Linked DNA regions of Ovis aries. The protein of the gene in region 4 interacts with the protein of the main gene of each other region in a biochemical or structural test. Links are inferred from orthologs where the notes say so. Each region holds a gene or a part of one and is shown on either strand. Other genes may lie near its edges.

Region 1 (5,688 bases), about 59 Mb from region 4:
CGGGAGTGCAAAGGGGGCTGTCGCTGCCGTGACGCGCCCAGGAGATGTGAGCGGCAGGGCACCGGGGCAGGGCTCAGGGGAGGAGGGCCCGCTGCATCTCTCGGAGCAGAAGGCGGGTAGTGACTGAAGCAAGGTGGGCGGGAGGGGCCCTGAGGGACGCACAGCCGCAGGTCACCAGAGGCGGCGCACACGGGGCCAGGACGGCACCCTGGCCGGGGGAGTTCTTTGAAAGCACAGAAGCCACAACTACCAGGAGCCGCCCCTCCGACGGCTCAGAGGAGTCAGGTGGACACGCAGACGGGCTGGGGACAGGCGGGTCAGGAGCTGCAGGAGAGCCGCGGGGTCTGCGTGCCGTCCTCGGGCCCATGTCCTGTGGGGAGACAGACAGACAGATCCTCCGTGAGCCATGGACGCGCTGCGGGGAAACGGCAGTGGCGGGAGGACACAAAAGCGGGAAAGCAGAGAAACTGCTGCAGCAAAGGCCACCTTCCCGGAACCGCCCACGGGACGGGGCTCACCTCCAGCCCCGGGGCACCCGCCCTCAGCCGCCCCAGAGACCTGCCCAGGACCCCACCCCACGGCCGGGCCAGCACCACGCTCCCAGACGCCCTTCTTTGGCCACAACTGACAGTACGTGGTGGGATCTGCTTCGCAACCAGTGGTGAAAGCGGCGCCCCTACCTCTGAGGCGAGGCCCACAGGGAAGCCTCCCAGAGGCCCCTCATCTCCCCCTCCGGTCTCTGTCTCTTTCTGGCCGTGCTGGTCTCCGCTCTGCACGCAGGCTTCTGCAGCTGCGGTGTGCAGGCGGGTGCCGTTTGCTAACCGGCGGTCCACCCCGGGACGCATGCGTCTTGTGAACGCCCGTTCAAGTGGACGCTGTTGCCCCTCTTGGCAGGACGCCCGCCCCCACTCTGGACGGGCAGGTGGGCCAGAATCGCCGCCCAGAATCGCCGCCTCCCAACCAGCGCTGCCTTAAATGCCCCAGTTTTCTCTGCCCAAGCGTGATCGGCGCAGCCACGGGCTGGCCGGAAGGTGAGGCTGGCAGGTTGGACTGGGAAGGGCAGGAAGGGACCCCTGCCACCCCGAGCCCTGAGAGGCGGCCCTGAGGGCCCACCAGGCCTCTGGGAGGCCCCAGCACCCCTCTAACGTCCTGTCTCACTTGAGGAAGTCGCATTCCAGGTCAAACCCGCGATCCCTGCCCACAGACCCGCAGGCTCACCGGGAGCAGGAGGACCTGCGGCTCACGCCCTCCCCCGGGACCACCCTGGGGGAGGGGCACGAAGAGACCGCGCCGAAGCCCCTGCCCTCCGACGCCCAAGCTGGCCTGTCCCAGGCATTTCCACTCACTTCTCGAGCTCTGAGAGAGGCCGCGTGCTCTCCCCTTCCACAGATCCTCTAAAACTGAGATCAGTTTCCTCTTTGGAGCGCTTCAAAAAACCCAACCATCACTGCTGTACGGCTCCCCACACCTCGGGCTGCAAAGCTTCCATACGAAACCCCCCTTTAATGACACCTGGTAACACCCTGTCTTCTTCGCCAGGACTTATTTACGGTTAAAGCTCCAGGTACCTGACAAATTTAAGATCGGTATCCCGGCTGGAATCTAGCAGTCTCTTCAAAAATGAGTTCTTTGAGCTTCTCCTTGGGCAAGTCATCCAATTCCATGTCAAACTTGAAGGGTGCTTCGGCGACGGGCTTGAAGATAAAGCGTAACTTTGAGATGAGGGTGCCCCTGGCGGGGCTGCTACCCAGGCTCTGGGCTCCCGCCCGCAGCACCAGCCCCCCAGGGTGGGAGGTGTGCCCCGCGCGCCCGGGACCGACAGCAGGCAGCGCCCCCGCACTGCGCTGGGTGGGGAGGGCTGCGGCTGGCTGCCCGGTGTGTCCAGAGCCAAAGCCTGGAAGCTCACACACTAGCTCAGCACGTCCCAGGGGCGGGGGCGCCTGGTGGGCTGCCGTCTATGGGGTCGCACAGAGTCGGACACGACTGAAGCGACTTAGCTTAGCTCAGCACACGCCAGCGCCTGTCTGTGAAGAAGCCTCACAGTGAACAGAAGCCTCACGGCCGATGAAAACTGTGGCGAACGGCCATATTTACGTTACACAGAACGAACCCTGCTTTTTCTAAATTTAGATACAAAAACGTAAGAATGAGATGGAAAATACTCCAGAATTTTAACAACAACTATCCGTGTAACCAGACTACAAAGTGATGTTTCTTGTATTTTCTGGTGTTTTTTAAGTATCTCCTCTCCATATAAATAACCAGAGAGTCAGCACTGTCTCTGTGCGTCAGAGATCCTCCTCACACGCTCAGTGCTGCTGTTACCAGGTACCCCAGACCTCATCCCTGCCATCCTCACACCAGGTCTTAAGGGGTAGGAAAACACACACCCCAAATTCAGCTCTGGCCCCCGAAAAGGGGGAAAGGAGGAAACTCGCGGTTGCTCTCCCTGCGGGAGGGCTCGCTGTGTGGGGCCCTAGGCGTGCTGTCCTTCTGACACCTTGGCGCCCAGGGCAGTGAGAGCCCGGGTCTCTCCTTCTCCGCTGCAGCCCTGTCACCACAGGGAGCCGGCCGCCACTGCGCCTGGGGCAGCTGACAGATCCGTGCGCACTCCCCCTCCGCCCAAGCAGGCAGCCCCTGCCGGACTCTCACCTCGTCGCTTGGATCGTAGTACTGCTCCAGGTACGGATGGGCCAGAGCCTGCTCCACCTCGATCCTCTTGTGAGGGTTGAACGTCAACATTTTGTCCAGTAAATCCAGAGCTACAGAGAGAAAGGTTTTGCAGAGATGAGAAGCCAAAGGGGCAGTCACCGCACCGACCAGGCACTTCCTGTTTATTTAAGTCACGACCCACAAGACCGGGGCGCTGAGGGGGCCGGGCGCGCAGGGGGCCTGCTCCACCTGAGCGTCTGACGGCAGAGACCACACTCAGGAAGGTGGTACGCTCTGCAGAGGCTCCACAGGGAGCCAGGATTCAGGCCCAAGGCTGCCCACAAAACCCGGCCTGGTCCGAAAGCACGGCCCCACCCTGCAGGGTCGCGAGCAGAGGCTATGCGTACTACTGCGCTCAGGTCAGCTCCAAGGTCACTTTGGCCTGGCCACTTCCTGCCCCGTGGCTTCAGCCCCCTCCTTCCAGTTCCGGCTGACAGGCCTGTGTGAAGCGCAGGCCGCTGGAAACACGTTCCCTGCTGGAGACAGCAGGCACGCAGTGTGCCCACGTGCGCTGGGCTCTGCCCCCATGAGTCGCCTCTGAGGCCTGCCACCCCTACCCACCTTCAATGAGGAGTCCATCCAAGCAGTAAACCGCTTTGCATGTGGTGAGAAACTCCACACCACACAGGACGGTTTTCACGTCCATAAAGCGAAGTGTGAGGAACAGCAGGATCTTTTTAAAGTCCACATAGTGAATTTCTGCCTACAGCACATTTTCCAACTAGCGACAGGGAAACACGGGGCGCCTGCTGGACCCCAGCGGCCCAGGGCCTGCCCCCGCCCCTGCCCAGAGCGGCCGTCTGCCTCAGGACTCGCGACCCTCGTCTGCAGTGGTCAGAGCCCCCAGCACTGCCTTTAACCCCCACCTCCTGCTGTTGCTAAGAGAGACGCACCCCAGGCGACGGGCATTCCTAAATCAGACCTCGCGTTCCTTCAAGTTCAATCCTAGGCAACAACTTCAAAGGAAGAGAGCTCTTCTCTTTTCTTTGCTACTGGAGAAAGGCCTGGCCTCCAGCCTGCTCCACCTGAGCCACGCGCAGGGACAGGAGGCTGGGGGAGGCGAGCCGCGGGCAGGTGCAGGCCGGGCGCCACGCCACACCGAGTCCTGCTGTCTGCGCACACGCGTCGCTGGGTGCGGAGGCCACCAGCCCTCAGAGGCCGGATGGCACCCCGCCGCGACCCTGCCTCTCCAGGATCCCACGCTGTCCTCTAACTCGGGAGCACAGCTCTGTGCCTCCACTGTCTGCCCCATGGGTCACTCCCCTGCCAGGCCCCAGGGCAGCGTGCCCGGCTGGCGCTCACTCTGAGCCTCCTTACCCACCAGGCGGGACTCCGACTCAGAACAGGGCTGCCACCTGTCCCGTCCACCCTCCACCCTCGGCTCCAAGTCCCGAGCGGGGCCAGAGGAGGCGGCCGCCTGTGCAGGCTGCGCCACCACAGCCGCGCTTCTCAGACTCTGGGCTCAGAGCCCTGCTGCCAAGGCCTCCAGGAGTCAGCTGCCACCAAGGGCTTCACCCCGCAGGCCCCGGGAAGGGTCGTGGGGCCTCAGGGCTGAGGAGCACACGGCCGAGACCCGCGGGGCCCCGGCCAGTCCTGCTCTGCCCTGAGCACGTCGCCTCCCGCTCACGAAGGCGGGTCAGGCCCTCCCCGCAGCTGGCACACATGCCTCAGCATATCCTACAGGGAAACCAGGTTCCCCAGGTGGCCTTCCTGGACATCCCTCCAGCGGGCCCTCACGCATCCTTCTGGGAAAAGGGGACCCTCTTCCCTTCCAAGGCTGACCCTGCCTGCTGTATCCTGGCCCCCACTCCCCGGGGTCCTTTCTGAATCCCTCAGCCCTCTGAGCGGCCACCGGGACCTGAACTGGAGGCCTCCTCTTCCACAGGCTCCAAGGCCCTGCCCCCCATGCTGCCCAGGGAGGACTCCCATCCACCCCCCGAGAGTCCCCGTCTTCACCCCCCGACCTCCTCCAGGACCTCAGCTGCCATCTGCTGAACTCTCCTGACCCCAGAGTCAGCTCAGCACCCACCGCACAAGAGACAGGACGCTGCTCACGGCCCCGCTGAGAATGTGGGTGCGCACGTGTTTACAGGGCAGCGAGGAAGTCTGCATGCTGTTCAAACGGCGGGCTATCCGACAAATGGAGATAGATTTCTCACAAGAACTGCGGTTTTTTAAAGTTCAAGAAACAGGGGATTTCGCTGCTGGTGAAGACTTCGAGCTTCCACTGCAGGAGCGTGAGTCTGACTCCCAACTGGGGGACAAAGATCCCGTGGGCAACTCTTGCCCGGGGAAGCAGGGAGAGGCTTGGCCGCAGCGGCCGCCAGGGGCGGGTGCTCTCAGGACACAGGCCAGTGTGAGCCTAGAGCTGCTGGAGGCCACCGTGTCACAATGAGAAACGAGGCTGGCCAACAGGAGAGGCGGGAGGAGAAGGCACTGCTCATCGCAAAGCCAGACTTGGTCACAGCAGCTGTGCCCGGAGTCCATGGCCTGCTGGTCCCCAGGCTGGTGAAGCCCTCTGGGCTGAGGCCGGTCAGGGGCTCCCGTGGAGGGCAGAAGAGGCCTCAGAGCCGGCCCTCCAGTCTGAGGACTCCCCGCACCCACAGGCCGTCCCACCGCTCGTCCCTGACACGTCTGTAGAACCTTCCTGTGCGTCGTCTTCCACGCAGCTGAAATCACGCGATGTGCGGCAAACGCTGTTACCTCCTCAGTGAGCACTGCTCATTCGTGTTTCCCCTTGCTACGAACACTTTGTAAAAATCACGCTTAGGGGCTGTATTCCCGACTCTCCCGTGAGGTGGGTGAAACGTGCCCCATTCTGAGTTAAGGAAAACGCGCAATGGTGAGGTCAGTGACTGCCCCAAGGCACAGGCCCGGGCGCCCAGCCTGCCCCCGGAGCCAGCCCCAGAGTGCAAGGCCGAGCAGGAGTGTGCAGCTGTCAGCCCGGAGCGCAGGGGCGCTGGAAACGCAGTCTAT
Region 2 (6,107 bases), on a different chromosome or scaffold from region 4:
GCGCTTCTCCCCGCCACTACCTGCCTCGGGCCCACAGCCCAGCTTCATGGCGCACCTGGCGGGCGCAGTGGTGGGCGTCAGCATGGGCCTAACCATCCTGCGCAGCTACGAAGAGCGCCTGCGGGACCAGTGCGGATGGTGGGTGGTGCTGCTTGCCTATGGCACCTTCCTGCTGTTTGCCATATTCTGGAACATCTTCGCCTACGACCTGTTGGGTGCCCATATCCCCCCACCACCCTGACAGGGTCCCCAGGGCCACAGGGGCCAGGGTGCAGGACCCCAGGGCCAGCCACCGGGCAGGCCTGCATGTCCACCCTCAGTGAATGTAGTCTCGAGGCTGCTCCTTCCCGGTGTGGGCTGGTGGCCCCTGTGGCCCACTGAGTCCAGGCCGAGCCTTACACTAGCCCTGGCCACCCCCTCCCAGGCTGGAGGGACAGGACTGCTGGCCTGGGCCGGGTGGTGGAGGTCCCCAAGAGTGGCCCTAGAGAAGATCCTGCCTCTGCCTCTTCCTTGAGACTTGCAGTCTGAGCCTTTTTGAAGAATGAATAAATATTTTACACAGCATTAGCTGGCTGTACTGGGGCCCTGGGCTGGGCTCGTCTCCCCCTAACTCTGAGCAACTGTGAGAGCCCTTCCCTCCACAAGAGTGGCTGAGGGCCCCCCCCCACCCCCAACCCTGCTTCTCTGAACCCAGCATGAGGTGTGTCTGTGGGAGCCGGGAGCCCTGGGGAGGGGCTGTGGGTCTCACATTCAGGTGTCAGTTCAGCAGGCATTTATTGAGCTTCAACAGCAGCCAGCTTCCTGGTCGGCCAGCCTCCTGTCCAGAGACTTACGGCCTGAGATCACAGGGCAGGTGAGCAGGCTCTGGCCAGCAGCCAAATCACTCAGCCTGGGTCCTGCGCTTCTTGGCTGGCCTGGTGTCCTCAGCGGGGACCAGGTTGGGACCCAGGTTGGGCAGCAGGTCCGGGCACATCTTCCGCCCTACAGCCCAGGTCCACAGGGCCGTCTCCACGTGGTGTGGGGTCCACAGCCCAGATGCACTGCCTAGAGAAGGGCAGAGAGAGTCTGGGGCTCGGAGATACCGATCTTCCTACGGTCAGAGAGAGCTCTCCGTGACCACCCGGGCCGCCCGTGGTCTCCGCACCTTGGCTCAGGGCTGTTGCACGCTCCTGCACCCGGCTCAGGTAGAGCAGGTAGTGCTTGACAGTGTACTGCAGGGCGGGCAGGCCGGGCACTGCGGCCACTGCCTCCTCAGACATGAAGGCTGCCGCCTCAGGAGCTCCGGCAGCCAGTACCGCTGTGGGCAGTGAATGGACAGCACTCAGCCCCGCCTGGGCCTGGGGCTGCTGTCCCCAGCGACTCTCCTGTATCATGTATCTGGCCGTCGGACCATTTCATGGATAAGGACACTAACAGGCCAGGTTCCGCCAGCGACCCTGCCCGGGGGTGGTCCAGCTTTCCCGACTAACCCGAGGCGGTAGCCGGGCCCACGCCACGGAGGGCGCACAGAGCCATGACCGCTGCGTGCATGTCTGGCAGGAGGCGGAAGGCGGCGGCCGAACGCTGCACCACCAGCTCCGGAGAGTTGGCGGCCACGAGTTGCTGCAGGCGCGGTCGGAAGCGGCCCCTCTGTGGCCAGGTCGGGTCGGGTGTCACGGGTGGCGGCCCTCGCTGGGAGGCCCCTCAAGACTGCCACGAGGGTGAGCCCCCTGGGAAGCCCCACCCACGTGGCTGTGCCGCGCCCCAAGTGGGAAGCCTTACCGCCAGTTTCCACGCCAGCAGCCGCTGCAGCTCGTCTAGTGTCACGTGCTTCTCCGCGCGGGCCCCGATGGCCGCGGGCAGCTCCTCTCGGTACCTGGGGGAAGGCGGCGCTACGGAGTCCGGGCCACGGGGCTCGGCCCGCCCGCCCCTGCCCCCTCCGCCCTACCACCGGTCCAGCGCTTCCAGCCGCCCCTGGGGGCCCGCGCGCGCCCGCAGCACCGCCCCGCGGCACTCCAAGACGGCGGCCCAGCGGCTTGGGTCCTCACAGCTCCAGAGCCCGCCAGCCGCGGCCATCTCCCCGCGCCAGGCGAGGCCTCGGGGGCGGGGCGTCGGAGCGCGGCCGGGCGGGCGTCTGCCCGGGTGACCCAGCGCGTCGCAAACCTTGACGCCGCGTCGCGTTGCCAGAGTCCCCCTCCCTGCCGGCCCCGCCCCCACAGCGCGCCGGGGGCACGCACGGCCCCGCCCACCCGTGCGGCGGTCCGCTCCGCTGGCCCCGCCTACCTGCAGACCGGAAGTTCCGGTGGCGGAGCGCTGGACCGAGCCCGAGCGGATCGCGGGCTCGGGCTGCGGGCGCAGGGCGGGCTGGGCGCGGAGCCTGGGAGCGGAGCCCAGGCGGTGCCGTGCGGCGCCATGAAGGGCAAGGAGGAGAAGGAGGGCGGCGCACGGCTGGGCGCCGGCGGCGGCAGCCCCGAGAAGAGCCCGAGCGCACAGGAGCTCAAGGAGCAGGGCAACCGGCTCTTCGTGGGCCGCAAGTACCCGGAGGCAGCGGCCTGCTACGGCCGCGCCATCGTGAGTGCGCCCGCGCTGCGGGAGGGGCTTGGCGTCCGAGCCAGGGGAGGGGCCGAGCTGCGGCTTCTGCCGCGCGCCCTCTTCAGAACATGTCAGGCCGTGCCCGCCAGACTTTCGGAGGGAGGGGGTGGGTGCTTGGGGTCTGGGGCCAAGGCCGCGCCTTTCCCGAGCCAGTGCGGGCTGCCAGAGAACTGTGCTGGGTGGGAACCGTAGGTGTTCGAGGCCCACTGGGCTGGGGACCAGGCATCCCTGCCCCTTGAGGAGTCAAACGCGATGCTGGGGATTTCCATGAGTCCGGGAAAACTACCTTCACAAGACTCATTGGAGTCCAGAGAGTGGGCTCACGTAGGCTTCACCCTCCCTCAGAACCCAGGGGCTTGGAAGCTGAGAAAATGCTAGTGTCTTGGTTCCAACCGCGGGCCTCAAGTTGGGACGGAGTGGGCAGGCTGAGCTCACTCCCTCATGCTGGCTGGCCCGGCCTTGGTCCCCAGACCCGGAACCCCTTGGTGGCCGTGTATTACACCAACCGGGCACTGTGCTACCTGAAGATGCAGCAGCACGAGCAAGCCCTGGCCGACTGTCGGCGCGCCCTGGAGCTGGACGGGCAGTCTGTGAAGGCACACTTCTTCCTGGGGCAATGCCAGCTGGAGATGGAAAGCTATGATGAGGCTATTGCCAACCTGCAGCGAGGTGGGCTTACAGGCTAGCTGGTTCCAGGGTGCCTGGGACCAGGTGGGTGGACTGGTTGAAGTTTACCCAAATGCTCTATCCCCCAGCCTACAACCTGGCCAAGGAGCAGCGGCTCAACTTTGGGGATGACATCCCCAGTGCTCTGCGCATCGCAAAGAAGAAGCGCTGGAACAGCATCGAGGAGCGACGCATCCACCAGGAAAATGAGTTGCACTCTTACCTCACACGGCTCATTGTGGCTGAGCGTGAGAGGTGGGCTCCCCCTCTTCGAGTCACCACTCTTAGGTTAACTCTGAGGTGTGAACACAAGTGTTTATTGAAGGCCAATTCTGGCACGCAGGAGATGGAGGGAAAGGGGCCTGAATGATCCTAAGTCTGGAGTGGAGTCTGACTGCCCCTGGCCAGACCCATCTCTGAACACCTTTTGGTCAACCCCCAGGGAACTGGAAGAGTGTCAGCGGAACCACGAGGGTGACGAGGACGACAGCCACGTACGGGCCCAGCAGGCCTGCATTGAGGCCAAGCATGTGAGGGTGCCCCAGCCCGAGTGTGGGTCCTGTGTGTGCGTGCGCTGTGATGTGAGGTGCCCTGGCTCCTGCTGGGTCTGTGTCTCGGTGTCTGGGGAGGGGAGAGGGGTGTCAGGCCCACAAGTGGCTGCTTGGTTCTTTGCAGGACAAGTACTTGGCAGACATGGACGAGCTCTTCTCCCAGGTAGACGAGAAGAGAAAGGTGAGCTGCCCGTCTTCTGGGGCCGGTGGGTAGCTAGAGCAGTGTCCCTTCCCAGCCCCTGACCTGATCCAACCCTGTGTGCTGCAGAAGCGAGACATCCCTGACTACCTGTGCGGCAAGATCAGCTTTGAGCTGATGCGGGAGCCCTGCATCACGCCCAGTGGCATCACATACGACCGTAAGGACATCGAGGAGCACCTGCAGGTGAGGGTCTGTGGGCGCTGGCAGCAGGGCCCACGCGCACTGAGCAGCCCCTGACTCTGCCCTGTTGTCACTGCAGCGCGTGGGCCACTTTGACCCTGTGACTCGGAGCCCCCTGACCCAGGAACAGCTCATCCCCAACCTGGCCATGAAAGAGGTCATCGATGCCTTCATCTCTGAGAATGGCTGGGTAGAGGATTACTGAGCAGGGTGGGTGTATGGGCCACCCACCTGCCTTGCCCGGTACCCTAGTTCAGGAGGGCCTTGGGGCAGCAGCCCCTAGTTTTCTGTATATAGTTTGTGTCCCTGGATCCCTACCCTGGTGTCCCCACCCCCACCCCCATCAGTTCTGCTGGGCAACACGCCTCTCATCCTCCTTCTGGGCCGGAAAGGGGGGGTGAGGCTGGGCTGGGCTGAGGCTGCTGCCACCACCTCTGTCCCTGTAATAAAACCTGTGAGTACTGCAGGGATGTGTGCTGGTGTGCGGTGGGCTTGCCAGCCACCCCCTTTGGCTAGCCGAGGAAGGTAGAGATGAAGACGCTGGTGTCGAGGTTGAGTGTGGCATGCCACCATCGGTCCGGGAAATACAGCACCTGGCGAGGGGTTGGGGGGACATGTGGGTTGATGGGTTGGATGGGGGTCCTTGGCCTGGCTCAGCCTGGCCCGTCTGCCAGCCACTGACCTCACCAGCCTGGATAGTGCATTCCAGGGGCCGTGCAGATGGTGTCAGGGCTGGATATGTGTCCTGGAGCCAGGCCAGTGTGGTTTTGTTGGGGTGGAATTCGGGTGTCTTCTCAGGAGGGTACAGGAACCAGCGCTGGGGGTTGGCGGGGAGCAGCAAAGTTATGCTTTGTATTTTGGTCAGTGAACCCAGAGTCTCAGCCTGCACCCTGTGCTGACCTTGCGGCCATAGATCACCTCCGAGAACCCAGGTCCATGCCAGTGGAAGGGCACCCCAGAGCCAGCTCCTGTGAGGCAAGTTAGGAGCACCTGGTTACCAAGCTTAATCCTCCCCCAGCCAGCCCCCAAGTCCCTTCGTCTTGCAGGGCACCCACCTGCAATTCCAAAGCTGTAAGCAGGAGTTGTACCCAGCAGGCTGAACGGAGGTGGAGAGTAGTGCCGAAAGAGGGAGGCCCATTCGGTGAAGTTGTTGTCCCCAAAGAAGTACAGAGTGTCTGCCAGCAGAAAACAGGACACAGGGATCTCCAAGTCACTCCCCCCTACACACACCCAATGGCCACCTGTCTCGCTCACCATTGCCCATGGAGATGGGGTCCTGGGGGTGCAGCATCTGCTCCACATACTTCTCAAAGGGCAGGTCCACTGCAGTTTGAAAGGCGTTGGTCAGGACTAGTTGGTGCTGCCTGCAAGATGCTGGCAAGCAGGCTGGGCTGCGGGGTGGGGCAGCTCACCTTTCTGGTAGGAGTAGGTGTTGGCGGTGCTCAACCGGACCACGCTGTCTCCAAAGGAGGCCAGCAGCCTCTGACGGGTGCACAGGTCCCGGAACCTCTGCGGAGGTAGAGAAAGGACTTCGGGGCGGGGCCCTGCACTGGCGAGTGGTGGTCGAGAGGGGCGTGAATACTCACCGAGTTGTCTGTGAGCCCCTGCAGAATGACAGGTCTGGAAAAGGCGTAGCTAGAAGGAAGGGCAGGGTCACGGCCAGGTCTGACCCGCCCCCACCCTCGGCTCCCGCCCACACGGGCTCAAAGGGGCTCAAGGGGAAGTGCGCGTCCTCGGCGGTGCAGGGGACGGCTCTAGGGACAGGTTTCCGGGAGGTGTGGCCCCACAGGAGGCCGCAAGTACCGCTGCACGAACTCGGCGTAGCTGAGGTCAGCCCGGCGCTCCACGGTGCAGTGCTCCTCCTCCGTCACGGCCGCCGGCGCCCCCGGCCCGGGCCGCCGCCTGCCGACACAGCGGCTCACTTTGTCGGCCGCCCC
Region 3 (4,634 bases), on a different chromosome or scaffold from region 4:
CCGTGCGCTGGGATTCAGTTCTGAAATATATGCCTGCCTTGCCTACTCGCATCTCACCGGATCCCTGCGCCTAGAGAGCGCCACGCAGGCCAAGTATGACAGGGACAGTTATTCTCCCTGTGGCTGCTGGCTCCCAGCCCAGCTCAGGGCGGTCTCCAGTTGCCGGCCCCTCTGTGTCCTGCCGTCTGTCGCCCTCTCACCTCACGCCGGGATTCCAGCCTCCCCAGGGCCACCCTGTCTGTGGGCCCGGGTGAGCAGCGGCAGTGACAGGCCCGGTGCCCACAGGCCTGGCTGTGATGCACTCCCAGGGTAGTGATTACCTGGACATTGGCAACAACCCGCGAGTGGGCACCAAGCGGTACATGGCCCCCGAGGTGCTGGAAGAGCAGATCCGAACCGACTGCTTCGAATCCTACAAGTGGACGGACATCTGGGCCTTTGGCCTGGTGCTGTGGGAGATCACCCGCCGGACCATTGTCAACGGTGAGCCTCCGGCACCCCCCTGCACAGGGTGGGACAGGGGAACAGGGCCGGAGGATACCCAGGCAGACAGGTGGGAGGCAGGGCTTCCTGTCTCCGCCGGCCAGTGGCCTGAGGGGCTTGTGGTCAGGCCTTCCAAATTCCCTTTCCTGTCACTCACCAGCTGGCTCAGCTGAGCGACCTTTGCAGGTTCATCTGAGTCTGATTCTGGCTGCGAAATCTCGGGTAATTGGTAACAACAGAAATATTAATAACAGCTAACATTTATTGAGTTTCAGTACGTGCCAGATGTCATGCTGTGTACATGTATTATCCTACTGAATTGTCCTGTGTTGGCAGGGAGGTGGTATGCTTCAGTGGTTAAGAGCAACGGAGGGAAATCAGACTAAGTTCAGTGCCTGATTTTTGCCATGTGTGAAGTACTTTACTTTTCTGTGCCTCAGTTTCCTCATTTGTAAAATGAGAAGAAAAATAATTTCCAGCTGTTGAGATAATCCAAATAAGGTAATCAGGGCAGTATCTGGAACTGTAGTGGAGTTCAGTAAATATTGGTGGCAATTGTCGTAATGACAAATGCGTGACAGAGCAGCACCCCCATTTTACAGGTTGGGGGACTGAGGCACAGAGTCACAGCTGGCTAGCGGCAGCACTGGGGTCTGAAACCAGGCACTTTGACTCTTCGGACCAGTGCTCTTTATTACTGAGCTACTTCCACCTCTTTGGTCCTTGTTCCCTCAGAAATGCAGGATGTAATAGTGCCTGCACTTCCTGCTTATTGATGCCTTACTATTATTATTACTATTTTTCGCTGCACCGTGCGGCATGCAGTATCTTAGTTCCCTGACCAGAGATCGAACCAGTGCCCCCTGCACTGAGAGTGGAGTCTTAACCACTGGACCACCAAGGAAGTCCCTCCTGCCTCATTATTACCACGGGTGCTACAGAGAACCGAAGCTCGGAGAGGAGCAGGCACAGGGACCTCATTCTTCACGGTCCCATAGAGGGCCTGCCCTGTGGCTGGTGCCTTCCCAGTCTTGGGGTGGATGGGTGCTGGGTGGTGCTCTGGACCAGGTAGGGAGGCTGGTCAGTCTTTGTGGAGGCTGTCCACGGAGAGGGGCTGCCAGGAGTCTTGACAGGTTGAGGACCACCCTCTTGCTGGGCTCAGGTTCAGACACAAACTCCAGAGGCTGGGGCTGGTAAAGGGGGCACCTGGAAGCAACCGAGGCCCCTCGGACCCAGCCACAGGCAGGAAAGGAAGGCTGGACCAGCCTGGGCTGAAGAGGAGGCTGATTGCAGACTCCTGGGGAGGAGGGAAGCTCTGTCAGCTCCACACAGATTCGCGGCGCATTATAAACACTGTAATCTGGTGTCAGCCCCGGCGCTGATTAAAGGCCCATTAGACACGCTCAGGCCTCTGCGCAGCACTGATTAGGGCTCAAGCAGCACGGGGGCCGGCCTGGACGCCCGCCACGGGGAGCACAGCTGGCTCGGGCTCTCCTGAGGCTGTGGCTGTTCTGTGTGGCTGCAGCCCCCAGCCTCGGGCTGGAAGAAGGGTGGGGCCTAAGGTGCTTTTCTGGGGTCTGGCCTCTTCTGCCTCAGTGACTGCCGCTCCACCAGCATCATCTTCAGAAAGATCCTGCTCAGGATGGCACACTTGGGATGATGAGGGGAGGGGTTACTGCTGGCTGAGGGGGTCAGCAGAGGCCTGTGCCACCCCTGAGAGTGAGTGGATGTGATCTGGACCTGGGTAAATCTCCTTCCCTTCGAAGATGTGTTTTCTTCCCCTTCTCCTCATTCTATATCCTTACCCAGCAGTCTGCCCCCCTCCCTCAAGTGTAGCTTGGAGGTCAAGAGCATGGGCTTTGGTAAGACTTCCTGGGCTTAACTCCTAGCTCTGTCACTTACTATCTGTGTGATTTTAGACAAGCTTCTTAACCTCTCTGGCCTGAATCTGGCCTGAATTTCAGAGAGAGAGAGAGAGAGAGAGAGAGAGAGAGAGAGTGAGTGAGTGAGTGTGTGTGTGTGTGTGTGTGTGTGTGTGTTAAGTTGCTTCAGTCCTGTCCGGCTCTTTGCGACTCCATGGACTGTAGCCTGCTGGGCTCCTCTGTCCGTGGGGTTCTCCAGGCAAGAATACTGGAGTGGGTTGCCACGCCCTCCTCCAGGGGATCATCCTGACCCAGGGACAGAACCCGAGTCTCTTTAGCCTCCTGCACTGGCAGATGTGTTCTTTACCACTAGTGTGACTTGGGAGCCCCCTCATTGCTTATAAAGTGGAGCTAATAGTCTTCCTCATCTGATAGGGTTGTTTTGTGAGGATCTCATGCCATACGGTTAGGACAGTGCCTGCCACATAGTAATTGCTCAGTAAACATTAGCTATTTTGGGGCATCTCTGATAGCTGGGGCCTGGAAGCAGTACCTTGACCCTGGGTGAGAGGCAGCTGTGGAAAGACTGGAACAAGATCTGTCCTATGAATGCAATGTGTTTAAGTCTTGACTCTACCATTACAAGCTGTGTATCCTTGGGCTCAACTTCTCTGAGCATCAGTTTCTTCATCTGTAAAATGGGTGGTCAGGTTGCTGTGAAGACTAATAGGATTGTGCATTTTATAGCACAATGCCTGGCATATTTGGTAAGTGTAAGATAAATGGCAGTAATTATTGTTTATAAATATATTTATTATATTATGGTGTCCCTCTCAGAGGTAGCATGGGCAGGCAGCTGGTTTCCTGGACCCTGGGACTGAGTGTGGGCAAGGCTCACTTCTGGGTGGTATGGGACGTGTTTGTGGTCCCAAGTGACTGTCCCATTGTCCTACATCCCTAGGCATCGTGGAGGACTACCGGCCACCCTTCTATGATGTGGTGCCCAATGACCCCAGCTTTGAGGACATGAAGAAGGTGGTGTGTGTTGACCAGCAGACCCCCACCATCCCCAACCGGCTGGCTGCAGACCCGGTGAGGCCCCTGGGGGTGCTGAGATGGTGTGGGGTGGTGGCTCAGCACTGGGGGTTCTGGGCTGAGGAACTCATGTCTGGCCTCTGCTTCCCCTGGGTAGGCTCTAGGGGAGAGATCCCAGGGGACCTCTCTGGGTACTCCCTCCCACATTCCTGCCTGTGGACCTCCAGAGACGCTCCAGTTATTCTGGGATTTTTTTAGAATGTTTCACCTTGCCTGCAAAGACAGAGGTTCTCTGCTATTTTTTGCTGTGAAGTTAGTTGTTCTTTTTTCTCAAAGCACTCCACATACTTTGTATAGAATGCACATATATGTATATATAGGCAAATATAGGCATATGCACACTTCTGTACAAACACACATGTACACATTCACAGGTACACACACATGCATATATATACCAGACTGTTGGCCCCATGAAGACAGAGAAAAAGACCTTTTTTCTCTCTTGGCACTTTTCTCCTTGTTCCCTGTCACAGTGCCTGGCACACACTAGGTACTCAACCAATGTTTATGGAATGAATGACTGAACACTGACATGTGTATACATGTATATATACACAGACCCAAGTAAATTTCTGCACAACATTACAGAGCCACAAATAGCCACTCCTATGCACACACACATACAGTCCCTGCCAGGAACTGGCTTGAGTTCCAAGGCAGAGGTGAGGCTGGCTCACTCTGCGACCACTGAGCTTCTTGGACACATGCATTTTGAGGGCAGCACCTACCACCCAATCTCCCAGTGTCCAGTGGACCAGGCCAGGGTTGGTGGAGGTACTGGGAGCCACTGCCTTCTGCAGTGGGGTCTGGCCTCAGAGAGGGGATTTGAGAGCCCCAAGGCCTGCAGGTCTCCCCTCTGTTGGGTCTGGGTGGAATGAGAGTGGGGGTACTCACCGGAAGGTGTCCGTGAAGGCCTGAGTTCATCTTCTTTCCATCCTGCCTACCTTTCTCCATCCCCTTCCCACTCCACTCCCTTCCTCTTCCATTTTTGTCTTTCTTTTCTCATCCTTGCCCTGTTCCCGCTATCTCCCTTTCACCACTGCTGTCTCTCCTCTCATTTTCGACACTCTCGTTTCCCTCTTCTTGACTTTTCTGTCCGCTTGGGCATCCTCCTTGCCTCTTCCTTTCCACGGTCCCTGACCCATGCCTCTACTTCCTCTCCTCTCCTTCACTCTCCCTCCCCCCAGGTCC
Region 4 (6,398 bases):
TGTGGTAGCCACTAGCCACATTAGCTGAGCATTTGAAATGTGGCAAGTGCTGCTGGGAAGATGAATTTTTATTTCATTTTAATTAATTCCAATTTAAATACCCACATGTGGTTATGGCTACCAGATTGGACAGCACAATATGGCTACCAGATTGTCATCCCCAGATGACACATACACTGAACAAGGAGTGCCAGAAATTTAAGCAAAAAATAAGGATCTTCTTTTCCTGAACTGTTCATATGTTCAATTCAAATATTAGTGTCTCTGTTTCCAGTAGAGCGCTGGTAACTCTGATTAGTTCAAGAAATAACATACCAGCGGATACATCAATATAGTGCGACTCCATGTTAAGGATCAGAGATGCGAAGTATGTGGTTCTCTGATATTTTAGAAGGTCCCTTAGGCCAAGTTAAATTCAAGCTCACATGAAGCATGATTCAGTGCAGGGATCAGAGCTGCAAAGGTCCTTATCAGCACCCCCAAAGCATCTGCTTGTCCACTACCAAATGGAAAGCTGCTTAACGCAGACTTAACATCCCTTAATTTATCTTCTTTTCAGAAACTCAGAGTTCTGTAAGCCTTTCTTCTCTTCCAGAAATGCGAGCGTTCCTCACCAGTTCCGCATTTCCGCTATAAACAGAATCCATGTACCACCCATATCTGAAGGATAACGCCAGACTCCTGCTCAGCTGCCCCTGTAATATGGTTTAATTATGATGACTGAACTAATAGGCTGACATCATAGACTTTTACAGGCTGACCCCATGTCATCCTGATGTATCATTTTGCACCAGTTCAGTGCTGTAAATCAATTTAAGATCTCAAGCAGGTTGAAAAGGCTGGTAATGATGCTTTCTGTGCCGTCTCTGGAGACTCTACATTATACACAACTTACATTATTTATAAAGCCTCAATGATGCCTCCATTAGCCTTGTAAGACTACACAAATGAGATCTTTTATACACACACAACTTGGCCTTGATTATGGCGGTGACTGCAGCTTAAATACACTCATCTAATTACACTCAAGTTTATTCTTTTTCCAATCTAACCAAGTTATTAAACCCAGAATTACTAGAAATCAAAATTACAAACTGCAGTTTAGTTTTCAACTAATAAATGTATTTGGAAAAATGAGATACTTCCTTTTAATGCTTCATTGAGCTTAGTAGAAAACTGAATTCCAAGAGGTATAAATTAACATTTTAAATGGCCTAAGAATTGTCAATTCTCTAAAATGCAAAGGTCATCAGCTCCTCAGGGGTATAACACCAAAGGACACTGAAAAAAGGAAAAATGTATTCTGTTACATACCTATGGCTGGAGCGGTCAAAACTAAATCAAGGACAAATCCCTACCCTCAGAAGAAACCTGATCCTGCCCGGATCCTCCAGAGGCTTTGGCATCACCCACCTCTAGAAAACCACCTCCCAAGACCCTGGTTATAGTTTCCTAAAGAATTGCAATAGTGCACAAATGTACACCACCTGCACAGAAATATCAAATAACTGCAAACGGGAAGGACGGAGGGAGAGGAGAGCACAAACACTTAAATCAGTTACAGCATATTCAGGCCTGACCCCTCCAACAGAGTAACACTGATGCAAAATATTTAAACCACTGAAAAATCCCGGGGCTGTGAACATTGATTCGGTCCCGATTCTTTTTCAATCATGGCTCCAGTACAGCTCACCTACCTCCAATAAAGCATCACGCGGTTATTAGAAACAAGATGAAAACTCAACAGAGCGCAGAGAACAGTTTTCTCACTGTGTTCCTGAATGTAAGCACGCTATCCACGGCAGGCCACGAGAGCGAGAAATGTTCTGAAATCAAGGCATTCTGCTATCGAGCGGCGTGCTCAAAGTTTCAGCAGCAGAAACAGCACACCGAGAAATCAGGCAACTTCTGTGTCATTCCACCTACTCAAGAAACTTCAGCTACAATGGCAAGAGAACCTCAGGGGAAACAAACAGGGGCCGGTTGTCACAGCCCTTTCGACAACGATGCTTTCTCGGGAGATGGCTGGGAGACGCGCCCGGATTTTCAGAAAGGGAAGTGCCTTACCGGCGATCTTGCAAGTGCATGGAAACAACGTCCGCGCCGCAAAATAAACAAAAGCCGCAGCTACTGTAGTTGTAAGATCCTGCAGGCATCGGTTCCCCAGCCCTTCCCAAAGTACATCAAGAAAACGCTCTCCCTGGAAGCCTTCATATATAAATATATATAAATCAACTAGAAAAACAAGCCCACATCTCTTTCACACCCACCACCCCCACCTTCCCGCAACAACAACCCCGAGAAACACTTAACAAAGACCGAGCGCAGAGTAAATGAACAGTTGTTGCACCGCGAACTCACAAACACACACGCAGTGAGGCAATCGAATCCGGGAAAGGGAAAGGAATGAGACGACACTCTGAGACTTGGCGCGGGGGAGGGGGGGTAGGCGGAAGAGAAAAAAAAAAAATTTACACGCCGCCGCCGCCAGACCTTTGAATAAATTAGAGGGAATTTCGGTGCGAACTTTCCTTGACCTCGACCCCCAAGAGGCTAGTGGGGGCAGAGGAGGGAGCCCGCCCCGCACGCGGAGGGACCCAGGGCACCGGGTGTCCCCCTGGCGCAAGCCCGGCTCCGCGGAAAGGGCAGCGCCGGCGGCCGCCCTCCGACTCCTGCAGGGGTCGCCCGGGCCGGCGCGGGACACAATGGGCCCGCGGGCCGCGCCGAGTGCCCAGGCCCGGCTGCAGGAAGGGAAAGGGAAACCGGCGGAGGGGGAGGGTGGCCGCAGAGGGCCGGGCGCAGCCAGGGCCGGGAGCCCGGGAGCCTCGGAGCGCGGTTCCGCACCGCAGACCCAACAAAGACGCGGGGGGCACCGCGGCCCGAGCCCAGCCCGGCTGGTCCGGCGCCGAGGGAAAAAGGTGGCAGGTTTGCTCCTTTAGAGCGGCCGGGAGGCGCCATCATGGGCGGGGGTGGGGGTCCCCCGATCCGCCCCACGCGGGGAAGAGACCCCCCTCCCCGCCGCAGTCCGCGCCACCGGCCCCGCGCTCCGTCGCGGCCACCCGGCCCGCCCGCGCCCGCCCCAGCCCGAGGCGGCGGCGCTGGAAAGCCCGGAGCGCCGAGGGGAGGGCGGGGACGCGGCGGAGGGGAAAGTTGGGTTCGGGTCTGTTTCGTTTTACCGGGTTGGCTGCGCGCCCATCCGCGCGGGCGCACGAGTTGGCCGGGCGAGCCGGGTCCCCCGCGGCCCCGGTCCGGGCGACCGGGAGCTGCGCCGCGCTGCGCTCGCAGGGTCCCTCCCCGAGCCTCGGCCCGGGCTCAGCGGCTCGGCCTCTCCTTCCTCCGCCCGCCCGCTCGCCCGCTCGCTCGCTCCCGGAGCCTGGATTGATCTGGTCGCGCTGGCGTCAGGGAGTCGGAGCCGCCCAGCCTCCACTCCTCGGCTGCCAATACTCGGCGCACTCGCCCGCCCGCCTGCTCGCTCGCTCACACGCGCACCCGCGCGCCACCGCCGCCCGACCAGGGATCCTCTCCAAATTCCCGGCCCTGCCGGCGCGAGCGCTGAGCCCGCGCCGCCTCCCCCGCCTCCAGCCCCACGCCCCGCTTGTTCCAAGGAGAAAACACTACTGCCCCTGCCTCCTTGAGTCCAGGGGGAACCGACTTGTGCCTTACCTGCCGGTGAAGTTTCGCTTTCAGTGTTTATTTCCGAAATGTTCATCTACACTCCCACCGTGCCCACCGAACCGCATTGGAAACGCAGAGTGCATTTTGACAATTACCTTTCGAGCCTCGCCTTTTTACTGTCTAGTTTTCCTTGCCCTTCACTTACTCAGTGATTTGCAAGCCCCAAAAGTTGCTCGTACGCAGAACTGGATAACCTAATGACTATTGCCTGTGTTTATAGCAAACCTTGAATCAATCAATACGTGTGTTTTATGCCAGTTCGGGATCTAATGATGCCAGTTGGTTACCTCGTTGCTCCAGATGACAAATACCACAATATAACTTAACAATTTTTCCATCCAGTTTCTAAGTCTTTCAAATGTCACGCACGAACTTCCCCAAATAAAACGAACTAACTCCCAGCAACCTGATCTGCATAGACATTGACAGTGTCTTTTTGTAAGATTTAATTTTTCTCTTGGCCAGCTCTCTGTAAGCTGGCACGAAATCTTGGATAATTACCATAATGATGAATTATGTTTAGAGGCGAATAATTATTCTGAGGAATAAATTTCACGTGTACCAAAAGAACCATTACCACCAGTATTTTTAGAAAATTAATGGTACTCTCCAATTGTTCGTGTACTTTTACATGTGCACATTCATTTAAAATTCTTATTAGCTATTTTATTATTTCTGCATTCCATGTTTAATTATTCAAAGGAAATGCAACAAGTCCCCCGAAATATGTAAACCGTGTTTATACACAGATCAGACTATTTCTGCTAATTTCTTCATTAAATGATTTGAGCAATTACAGATCAATTCTTGGGCCTCATCTCATTTTCCCTAAAATCAACATTTGACACAATTCTTCATTCTCTACTCCTTGAAACAATAGTTGGAGTGAGCCTTGTTAAATGCCACTCTGATCAGGTCATTCCTCTGCTCAAACCCTCCTTTGATAAAGAGAGTATGCTATATCCATACAATGGAACATTCAGTTCAGTTCAGTCGCTCAGTTGTGTCCGACTCTTTGCGACCCCATGAATCGCAGCACGCCAGGCCTCCCCGCCCATGACCAACTAACTCCCGGAGTTCACCCAAACTCATGTCCATCTAGTCGGCGATGCCATCCAGCCATCTCATCCTCTGTCGTCCCCTTCGCCTCCTGCCCCCAATCCCTCCCAGCATCAGAGTCTTTTCCAATGAGTCAACTCTTTGCCTGAGGTGGCCAAAGTATTGGAGTTTCAGCTTCAGCATCAATCCTTCCAACCAACACCCAGGACTGATCTCCTTTTGAATGGACTGGTAGGATCTTGCAGTCCAAGGGACTCTCAAGAGTCTTCTCCAACACCACAGTTCAAAAGCATCAATTCTTCAGCATTCAGCTTTTCTTCACAGTCCAACTCTCACATCCATACATGACCACTGGAAAAACCATAGCCTTGACTAGATGGACTTTCGTTGGCAAAGTAATGTTTCTGCTTTTGAATATGCTATCTAGAGTGGTCATAACTTTCCTTCCAAGGAGTAAGCGTCTTTTAATTTCATGGCTGCAATCACCATCTGCAGTGGTTTTGGAGCCCCCAAAATAAAGTCTGACACTGTTTCCACTGTCTCCCCATCAGTCATAAAAAAGAATGAAGCACTGACACAAGCTCCATGGATGAAACTTGGAAACACTATGGTAAGCGAAAGAAGCCAGACACGAAAGACCACAGGTTGTAAGCTTCCATTTATACAAAATATCCGGGACAGGTGCTCCTGTTGGAAGGTAGAATGATAGTTGCCTATGTTTGGGGGAATGGAAGGGCTGAGGGTGGGGTGTGATAACCAAAGGTTATGAAGTTTCTTTAGGGGGTGACAAAAAATGTTTTAAAATTAGTCTGGGTCTTCCCTGGTGATCCAATGGCTGCTATTCCATGCTCGCAAAGCAGGGGGCCAGGGTTCAAGCCCTGGTCAGGGAACTAGAGCCGACATGCCTCAAATGAAGATCCTACATACTGCAACTGCTTCCCTGGTGACGCTAGAGGTAAAGAATCCACCTGTCAATGCAGGAGACATGGGTTCCATCCCTGGGTTGGGAAGATCCCCTGGAGGAAGGGATGACACCCTTCCCCAGTATTCTTGCCTGGAGAATCCCATGGACGCAGGAGCCTGGCAGGCTACAGTCCACAGGGTCACAGAGTCAGGCACAACTGAAGCGACTTAGCACACATATTGCAACTAAGACCCAGTGCAGCCAAAATAAATGAATAAATAAAATGAAATTAGACTGTGATCATGATTGCTCAACTCTATACAGATATACTAAAGCTCATTGAACAGTACACTTTAAGTGGGCAACTTACATGACATGTCCATTTTATTTCAATAAAGCTGTTTTTTAAAAAGACATGATAATTAATCCATGTTTGGATCCTGGATTCTGGGGGAAGCTATAAAAAGACATAGAGCTGTTAATTTTTTTAACTTATAGATGACCTTTCCCAGCACAGCCTAGTAGCCCCAAATGATAATTACTAATAGCATAGTTCATTTCAGTCGCTCAGTCATGTCTGACTCTTTGCGACCCCATGGACTGCATGCCAGACCTCCCTGTCCATCACCCACTCCCGGAGTTTACCCAAACTCATGTCCACACATGCTATGAAATTTGATTTTGCCCCAGGTGCCAGCTATTTCTTTCAATGGCAATAGAAAATTGAACTATTATTAAAAGGATCTTGTTGAGACAGTTG

The links.
Region 1: of the proteins of SMAD1 (region 4) and MAPK1, one has a biochemical effect on the other in vitro, tested with the Homo sapiens proteins (3 studies listed by BioGRID). The link is inferred for Ovis aries from reciprocal best matches to the Homo sapiens genes SMAD1 and MAPK1.
Region 2: the proteins of SMAD1 (region 4) and STUB1 form a complex in vitro, tested with the Homo sapiens proteins (3 studies listed by BioGRID, with this or other methods). The link is inferred for Ovis aries from reciprocal best matches to the Homo sapiens genes SMAD1 and STUB1.
Region 3: of the proteins of SMAD1 (region 4) and ACVRL1, one has a biochemical effect on the other in vitro, tested with the Homo sapiens proteins (2 studies listed by BioGRID). The link is inferred for Ovis aries from reciprocal best matches to the Homo sapiens genes SMAD1 and ACVRL1.

Annotation. Positions count from the first base shown.
Region 1 is NC_056070.1:72,086,492-72,092,179, reverse strand, and holds part of MAPK1 (mitogen-activated protein kinase 1), read right to left. Parts: intron 2,763-5,688; coding exon 2,653-2,762; intron 1,695-2,652; coding exon 1,578-1,694; 3' UTR 1,569-1,577; intron 371-1,568; 3' UTR 1-370. UniProt on the Homo sapiens protein: Serine/threonine kinase which acts as an essential component of the MAP kinase signal transduction pathway. MAPK1/ERK2 and MAPK3/ERK1 are the 2 MAPKs which play an important role in the MAPK/ERK cascade.
Region 2 is NC_056077.1:1,116,882-1,122,988, forward strand, and holds STUB1 (E3 ubiquitin-protein ligase CHIP), read left to right. Parts: upstream 1-2,391; coding exon 2,392-2,550; exon of another isoform or gene 2,551-2,556; intron 2,557-3,041; coding exon 3,042-3,240; intron 3,241-3,326; coding exon 3,327-3,492; intron 3,493-3,533; exon of another isoform or gene 3,534-3,679; coding exon 3,680-3,767; exon of another isoform or gene 3,768-3,912; coding exon 3,913-3,969; exon of another isoform or gene 3,970-4,056; coding exon 4,057-4,173; exon of another isoform or gene 4,174-4,249; coding exon 4,250-4,375; 3' UTR 4,376-4,636; downstream 4,637-6,107. Other genes in the region: RHBDL1 (rhomboid-related protein 1), read left to right, coding at 1-241; uncharacterized protein LOC101103616, read right to left, coding at 881-1,044, 1,145-1,297, 1,470-1,629, 1,762-1,855, 2,263-2,393; JMJD8 (jmjC domain-containing protein 8), read right to left, coding at 4,683-4,763, 4,853-4,987, 5,071-5,138, 5,226-5,345, 5,425-5,493, 5,583-5,679, 5,757-5,805, 5,974-6,072. UniProt on the Homo sapiens protein: E3 ubiquitin-protein ligase which targets misfolded chaperone substrates towards proteasomal degradation.
Region 3 is NC_056056.1:134,403,354-134,407,987, reverse strand, and holds part of ACVRL1 (serine/threonine-protein kinase receptor R3), read left to right. Parts: intron 1-285; coding exon 286-483; intron 484-3,306; coding exon 3,307-3,437; intron 3,438-4,630; coding exon 4,631-4,634. UniProt on the Homo sapiens protein: Type I receptor for TGF-beta family ligands BMP9/GDF2 and BMP10 and important regulator of normal blood vessel development. On ligand binding, forms a receptor complex consisting of two type II and two type I transmembrane serine/threonine kinases.
Region 4 is NC_056070.1:12,881,562-12,887,959, forward strand, and holds the start of SMAD1 (mothers against decapentaplegic homolog 1), read right to left. Parts: upstream 3,863-6,398; 5' UTR 3,664-3,862; intron 3,386-3,663; exon of another isoform or gene 3,177-3,385; intron 3,110-3,176; exon of another isoform or gene 1-3,109. UniProt on the Homo sapiens protein: Transcriptional modulator that plays a role in various cellular processes, including embryonic development, cell differentiation, and tissue homeostasis.